2 linked regions of the Ovis aries genome follow. The protein of the gene in region 2 binds, or shares a complex with, the protein of the main gene of each other region. Links are inferred from orthologs where the notes say so. Each region holds a gene or a part of one and is shown on either strand. Other genes may lie near its edges.

Region 1 (3,653 bases), about 41 Mb from region 2:
CGATGGTGGTAGTGTTTTCTGACCAGTGTGTATAACTTAATAGTATTTCTCACCTAACTCTTCCTGAGAGTAAGAAGTAGAATTAAAACCACTATAATATACAGAGAGATACTGCTATCATCTGATGTTGTAAAGTGCTATTTTAGAGACCATATTAAAAAGAGCCAGGATAGAAAAATTTTACTTCTCACAAAGTGTTCAATAGAAATAATTTGGAATATAGATAAAAAACTATACACAAATGTTATTGACCCTATTTATAATACTGAGAAATCAGAAATAAATATCCAATGGAAAGGTAATGTTTAAGTAAATATTTTGTATATTCAGTAGAACCATGTGCATCTTTTAAAATTATGTTTGTGAAGAGTATATAAAAGCATGGGAAATGTTTATGTCATAATAGAAAAGGAAATAGGCCAAATTATAAATTATATATAATATAATCATAGCTATATAAAATTAAAATATTCATGAAAATATTGGGAATAAATTTATCCCAATATTGAAGTGCTATTTCTAAGTTATAGTAATGCATTTTTTCTTTCTTCCCACTTTATGTATCTTATAAATGTCCTATACTGAGTTTATATTACATAATAGTGGGAGGAAAGAGTAAACAAAATAGATCTACTAACTAAGATGTGGTGGTCCCTTCACCTTAGAAATTGCATTCTAAAATGTGACATTGATTGGCCTCCTACCCATGAAATTATAAGAAGGCTTCTAGAATATTGCCATTTTCAAAGCTGAAAGTTTGCACTCTATAGTTCTCTTGTGCTGTTGATCAAAAAGAAGAGATCTGTGTACTTGGCCCTTTTTCAAAGAGAGGTTTTCGGGTTCCCAGAAAGCTAAAGGTGGTTTTAAGCATGCTAGGGCAACGAATGCCCCTCCTCAGTGCCTTTATGTATGACAATGTCGTCTTTGGAACTGGGCAGAAAGCAGCTTCCAGCAAGCATGTCACACACACACACCCTTGCTGAGTAAGCACTGCCTCCTTGGTGGCTCTGACTGAACTCCAAATACATCCCTTAGTTTTATCCCTCATCCTGGGACTGAGGAGCTGGCCAGAGAGAATTCCTGGCAGCTTTCATAATCATGTCTGTTTAATTTGTGGGGAACCCTGTAGAGTTTCCAAAGTGCCTTCATCTGTATTACCTCATCGTGAAGGTGGAAAGGGAGGACAGGTGGGTGTGCTCATCTCAGATGAGACGTAGGCAGGTTGAGTGACGCCTGGCTGCCGGATGGCCGAGGCGTCATATAATACTCCAGGTCACATAATACTCCAGGTCAGAATCTTAGTTTTTCTCTCCTGTCCTGGCTTCCTTCCTCATAATTTTTTTCATTTGCTTTTTATTACTATGTACTTTTAGTATAAGAGAAGCAATTCAAGGTATTAATTTTAAATAAATAGGGGAGACATTCTTCAAGAAATACCATTTTTATAGTAATAAAATTCTGTATATAATACTTTATATAGAGACATGTATATACTGTATGTAATGTTATTTGGACTGTTATAAAAGTATGGTATACTACATTAAGAGAATAGAATCAACAGAACATAATGACTGACAGTATATAGGAAATGCAATACAACTTATTATGCTCTTGTAAATAACAACTGTTCTACTTGAATTTAATCACAATATAGGTACTTCAGTTAGTAAGTAAAGAAATTTGCTTAGTAATTCAGAGTTTTCAAAGTATAATTCACTTGTCCTATCTTTTATGTCCTGTGTTTATCCTCACCATAACCCATTTTACAAGTGAAGAAACTGAGGTTGAGTGGCTCTAGTCCGGAGTCACAAAGCTCATGATCAGAAAGCCTAAATATATAGGCTGTAGGTGTTCTGGCTCCAAGTCCCAAGTTACTCAGCCTTGAATAATAGATGAGTCTGTGCTGAGCATGTAATTTCTTTGGGAAAGCAGGGCAGCAGGTGAGGTGCACACTGGGCCTTCCAGTGTGCTAGCCAGGCTCCCTAGCTTCCCAAGTGAGTGCACATTTTTAGAGAAGCCCTTGGTCCTACAGGAAAGTTGGTTTCAGGTAAATGCAGATTGCTGTAGAAACACAGACAAGGGGCGTGGATGAAGCAATAGAAGATGGATGTGTGCCTGTATATTTGGTGCCAAGATATGTGCCATAGATAGCAGGCATTTTGGGAAGTCAGAATAGGAGAAGATAGACCTTGCCAGGATTCGACCATATGTTTTTCTCTACACATTTCATTTTTTGGTTTATGTATACACAAAATGGTATGTCTCAGAGTTATGGCATAGTATCATATTTTAAGATAAAGCTTATCTCATGTATGTATACATTAGTATGGTCTCATTAACCAAAGAATTTAATTTCACATTTTTCTGTTTTATTCTTCAACAGATGAAATGCATAATTTAACCTGCCTAGTGGTAAAAGCGACTGGAATAGGAGAAGTGGATTTTCTAAGATTTGATCCTATAGCTAAAAAGGCAAAAACTGTTAAATATGATGTGCAAGCTGTAGCTGTCATTGTAGTGGCATTGAAACTGCTCTTTTTATTGGATGACAATTTAGAATGGTAAGTGTATGTAGTCTTAGGAGAAAAAAATTTTATTATTTTCCCCTAATTATTCAGAGTAAAGGGCTCCATATGTTATGTCTCAGTAGAAAGTAGAGACTCTGAGTTGTTACAGAACACTGACTAGTAGCAGCAGTTACTCCTTACCTAATGTTTTGGCTCAGGTATTTGTCAGAGATTTCATTCTCCTTTAGTAAGTTGTTTGGATCATGTTTTCTTCCATTTTTAGGAAGATGCACATGTGTCTCATTCTCCTGAGTTTTAAATCATACACAAATTCTAAAGAGTCACTAGCACTTCATCCATGTACCTTTTGGTTTCTGGCACTATGTGTCTTCAAAGATTATTTTGGAAAGTGAAAGAATCTTAAAATGCCAACAAAGAGTGGCAGTGTCTTCTTCCCTATTTCAGTGCTTGCTTCTGCATTAAAAGTTGGCATCAGTTTCAAGTACTGTTCTATACTTCTCTTTCAGAAGAATTCAAAATTTAACTGTCTTCTAATGAATGATTTCCAAATAAATTGATTTGTTTATTTGTGTCTCCAGGTCTTTGTCTAATATTGCCAAGAAATATAATGAAAAGAACAAAGAAGGTACTTTTTTTTTAATCAATCAAGTGATTGTAAAAGGTGAATTAAAAGATGCAATAAATATAGAGAAGAAGCTGAGAAATATATAAATTGTACCTTGTATCAGACTGTTTATATGTGTAGTTATCTAGTATATCTTCTATTCTCAAGGAGGTATAGTCAAATCTAGGAGAACAGACATGTAAAAAGATGGTTTCAATATGTGGAATCTAGAAAAATAGTAAAGATCTTATTTGCAAAGCAAAAATAGAAACAGAGCTGTGGAGAAGAAACGTATGATTACCAGAGGGGAAAAGGCAGGGGCGTGGGGTGAATTGGGAGATGGGGATTGACATCTCTACACTGCTATGTATAAGACAGATCACTGATGAGAACCTGCTGCGGAGAACCTGCTGTGGAGCTGCGGGAGCTCTGCTCAGTGCTCTGTGGTGACTTAATTGGAAGAAAGTCCAAAAAAGGGGGATATATGTGTATGTATGGCTGATTCAGTTTACTGTACAGCA
Region 2 (4,091 bases):
TATGAAGCCTACACAGAGCATAGACAAGACATCAAGGCCCCTGTTACCTATCTAGAAATTAAAGCAGAGTAAGAAAACTGAACTCCCTGACAAGCTTTCTGTTCTCACACTCCCAGTTCTGGCCCTTTCTACTGTCACCAGGTCTTTCAGGGCACGGCTCCCCTGTGGGTACCTCTGCTTCCTCATGGTGCTCGATGAGGGCTTTTGGAGGAAGGCTGTATAAGTTGCAAAGCTTGGATTTCACCATGATGGGAACGTAGCCCAGAAACTGCTTAATGACTCCTTTTGAGATTCCATTCACTGACCAGCTGATATCGGCCTAAGTGAAAATGAGAGAGAGAAAAAAGTTAAAAAAAAAAGTGGGGGACTATCTAGATCTGTAGGAATAAATGAGTATTCTAGGGGAGGGAGACAGAGGGATGGACTGGGACTTTGGGGTTGGTAGATGGAAGCTATTACAGTTAGAATGGATAAACAACAAGGTCCTACACAGGGAACTATATTCAATATCCTGTGATAAACCACAATAGAATACTGAAAAAAAAAAGTATATAAAAAAAGAATAGATGAGTATTTTAAAAGATTAAGGCAGAGGACCATAAACTAAATGATTTTATGCTTTAGGTTTAAAAGATGGGATCTCTCGGACGACAGCACTGAGAAAGCCAAATTCTGGTATAAACCGTATTAGGCACTGGGCTTATTCAAAAAAAATGTACAGTGTGTGAGTCGCATGCTGTCACTCATACTCACTGTCAGCTTTCCCCGGTAGGTGCTCCTCCGGCCTCGGCACTCTGCTGGATAAACGTTGAGCTCTTTGCAGATGCTCCCTTTGGGAACGGCTGGAGGACTGATGACGGCATCCACAATGGTGAGAGAGATCCGCTCATCTTTGAAAGCAAATTCAAAGGGAGGGACGGCCTGAAATACAGTTGAGACAGTCAACCGCTTGCACTTGCAAGGCACTTTCTCTCAGACTCTTTCAAATTTCAGGTGTTCTACAAGCACTGATGGCTATCATCCTAATGCAACACATCTAAAAAGAGCCAGCACTACATCTGGGCTACTCCTGTCCTAAGTACCTAAAACAGCATTAAGAAGACTTTCTGGTCTACTCACTGTTGGATTCTATAATAGGTTCTAGGGATACAGCTGTTTACGGACAAAGCTGTCCTCTGAACCAAGTACCTGACTTCAGTAGTGTGTATATGTTAATCCCAAACTCCTAATTTATTTCTGCTTCACATTTTACCTTGTACTCTCTTTGTGCATATGTTGTTGTTCAGTTGCTAAGCAGTGTCCAACTCTTTGCGACCCCATGGATTGTAGTCCCGTCAAGCTCTTCCTCAAGAATACTGGAGTGGGTTGCCATTCCCTTCTCCAGGGGATCTTCCTGACCCAGGGGATGAACCTGGGTCTCCTGCATTGCAGATTCTTTACCGTCTGAGCTACCAGAGAACCCATTTTAGCGGAAAGATTCCTTGATCATCTCAACGCTGGACTCTTTTTCATTGTTTTAATAAATCCCAGGGTCAATTAACTTATAAGCAGATTTACAATTTTTCTCATAGACATGATACAATGAGTCCAGGCACGATAGAAATTATTTCCCATCAGACAAAAATATCTCATCTTTTGCAAACGGGTGAAGCAGTATTAATCTTCGAAGAAGCCTCGATGGTTCCCCCATTATTTGCAGAAGAGAGTTCAAGCATCAGAAACTGGCTCAGCTTTCAACATTCTCTCCACCCCTCCTGCAGAACAAGCCCTACCCAACAAAAGCAGAGGGTAGAGACCCCTGAGCTCTGCTCCTGCACTCCCCCTGGAGGGAACGTACTCTTCTCTTGGATTCATGAGGTCCTGCCCTGGGTTAGCTGCACCTCCCTCCTCTGTGCCCCCGCACATAGCCCCTTGGCAAGAGAATTGCTCCAGAGTACTGGCACTGACTGCCTTCACAGCTCCACCTGCTGCTGCTGCTAAGTCGCTTCAGCCGTGCCGACTCTGTGCGACCCGATAGACTGCAGCCCACTCCATCCCGTCCCTGGGATTCTCGAGGCAAGAATACTGGCGTGGGTTGCCATTTCCTTCTCCATCACAGCTCCACCACCTCCACCCAAAACAAGATAGCAAGCAAGAACTCTCTCTTACATAGGTCTGCCTCTCCCTCACTGTCAGAGCCCAGTGCCCGGAGACACCGGGATGCTTACTAAATGAGACCCTACCCCATTATTTTAACCTGAAGCCTGCTACCATCACCCTCTAGACCAATCACTTTAGTATGGAGTAAATGTTACCTAATGACGTTACCAATCTCTTAAGGAGGACCAAAGGTTTCCCACTGAATCTCGCTTTAATGACTCACTGGCACCTTCCTCGACATAGCCCGGCGCTGGGCCTGTGCCCAACTCCCCCGTCTCCTGGATCCCTCCTCCCCTCTTCCAGGCCCCAAGCCTCACTCACCTCTCCCTCTTCCTTCTCCAGCGCCTCACACACCCCGCACCCCATCCGCCGTGCCGCCAGGCCCCTTTGCTTCACCCGCCTGTAGCAGGGGCTAGAGGCGCCGGAGAACCCAAAATTGAGGAACGGCTGGGAGGAGGCCAAGCTCACCTGCACCGCGTGGCTGAGCCCCTCGCTCACAGCGTAGTTGAAAGACTCGACATGCGCCCGCGTCAGCTCCTGCAACGCTGGCTTTTGCTGCTCCCGCGGGATCCCGTAAGACGAGTCGGTCAAGTGCTTTAGGCTGGGCCCACTGGGCAGGTTTCGCCACCGGCCGCCGGGATCCATGAGTTTGCCAGCACACCGGGCGCCAGGGACTGCTCCACACGCGCCGGAAACACCACCCGGCGCCCAGCACCCATGACCTGCTGGGAAATGTAGTTCCTCTTGGTCTGCCGGCCCTGGGTCCTCAGATTTTACAGGGTCGACTAGAAACTAATACTTGGAGCAAGTGGGCCCGTTCAAAATCCTGCAGAGTCGGAGAGCGGCGGATCGGCTCCGTCTCCTCTCTTCCGGTGTCCACCCCTGTAGATCTCCGTTCTCCACTCACAAAGGGGAAGTCCGCTCCACGGCCAATTCCGCCTGTGAAATCTCCATCTTTCATTTGCGGTTTAGGACCGGCGGAGAGTGATGTTCAAAGATTTCCTTCTCTTTCCTTGACGACTTTGCGATCCAATATTGATGCAGACTCTCGGGGTGACACCCAACCAGAGTTCTGGCTTCAAGGAAAAAGCAGTTAGGCACCAAACCGACTGCCCTCTACCCAGACCAGGGTAAGGGGTTAAGTCGGGAAGGTTCATCACTGGGACCGTCTAGCGGTGGTCCTACCCCCATTAGCCCCTCCCCGCGTCGTCTAGACTCGAGTCTTGAGCGGGAGCCGGCAACGTGTGTGCAGGCGGGCGTCCTAGCCCTAATATCCTTTAGTTATTTAGTCGCTAAGTCATGTTCAGCTCCTTGCGACCCCATGGACTCTAGCCCTCTAGGCTCCTCTGTCCATGGGATTGCCCGGGCAAGAACACTGGAGTGGGTTGCCATTCCCTTCTCCAGGGGATCTTTCCCAACCCAGGGATCCGGGGATCTTAGTTCCCTGACCAGGGATCAAACCTGTGCCCCCTGCAGTGGAAATGCAGACTCTTAACCACTGGACCTCCAGGGATACTTTGAGTCTAAATCCTATACTCCATTCATCTCCCCAGAAAACGATTTATCGGAGACTGTCTGCAGCTGTCTTTCAGCGTAATCTTTCCTGTGTATGTGCGTTTAACAGCTCTATCCTGTACGCGGTATAACTGACACACGATAAACTACACCTGCTTAAAGGGTACGCGCTGGTAAGTTTTGACCTAGGTATGTGCCTCCTGGGCTTCCGTGATGAAGCTATCATCACGATTAAGATAATGAACTCATTCACCACTTAAGAGAAATGTCCACCTGACGCAATTCCACCTTTACCTAGGTCCGGTGGTAATTCTCATTCCTGTATCAATTTTAAAAATTATCCTCTGTTTCTTTCTTATGTTTACACCATCAAATCTCCCAAGATGTGTGCAGCTGTGACCTAAATTCTGCCTTCTCTTCCTTTACAGCGACTGCTA

What was found. The genes of interacting proteins can lie anywhere in the genome.
Region 1: POLR1B (region 2) and TAF1B share a complex: the UniProt entries of both Homo sapiens proteins name them as parts of the pol I pre-initiation complex. The link is inferred for Ovis aries from reciprocal best matches to the Homo sapiens genes POLR1B and TAF1B.

Annotation. Positions count from the first base shown.
Region 1 is NC_056056.1:19,135,509-19,139,161, forward strand, and holds part of TAF1B (TATA box-binding protein-associated factor RNA polymerase I subunit B), read left to right. Parts: intron 1-2,383; coding exon 2,384-2,561; intron 2,562-3,106; coding exon 3,107-3,153; intron 3,154-3,653. UniProt on the Homo sapiens protein: Component of RNA polymerase I core factor complex that acts as a GTF2B/TFIIB-like factor and plays a key role in multiple steps during transcription initiation such as pre-initiation complex (PIC) assembly and postpolymerase recruitment events in polymerase I (Pol I) transcription.
Region 2 is NC_056056.1:60,441,239-60,445,329, forward strand, and holds the start of POLR1B (DNA-directed RNA polymerase I subunit RPA2), read right to left. Parts: upstream 2,819-4,091; 5' UTR 2,785-2,818; coding exon 2,608-2,784; intron 922-2,607; coding exon 754-921; intron 320-753; coding exon 173-319; intron 1-172. UniProt on the Homo sapiens protein: Catalytic core component of RNA polymerase I (Pol I), a DNA-dependent RNA polymerase which synthesizes ribosomal RNA precursors using the four ribonucleoside triphosphates as substrates.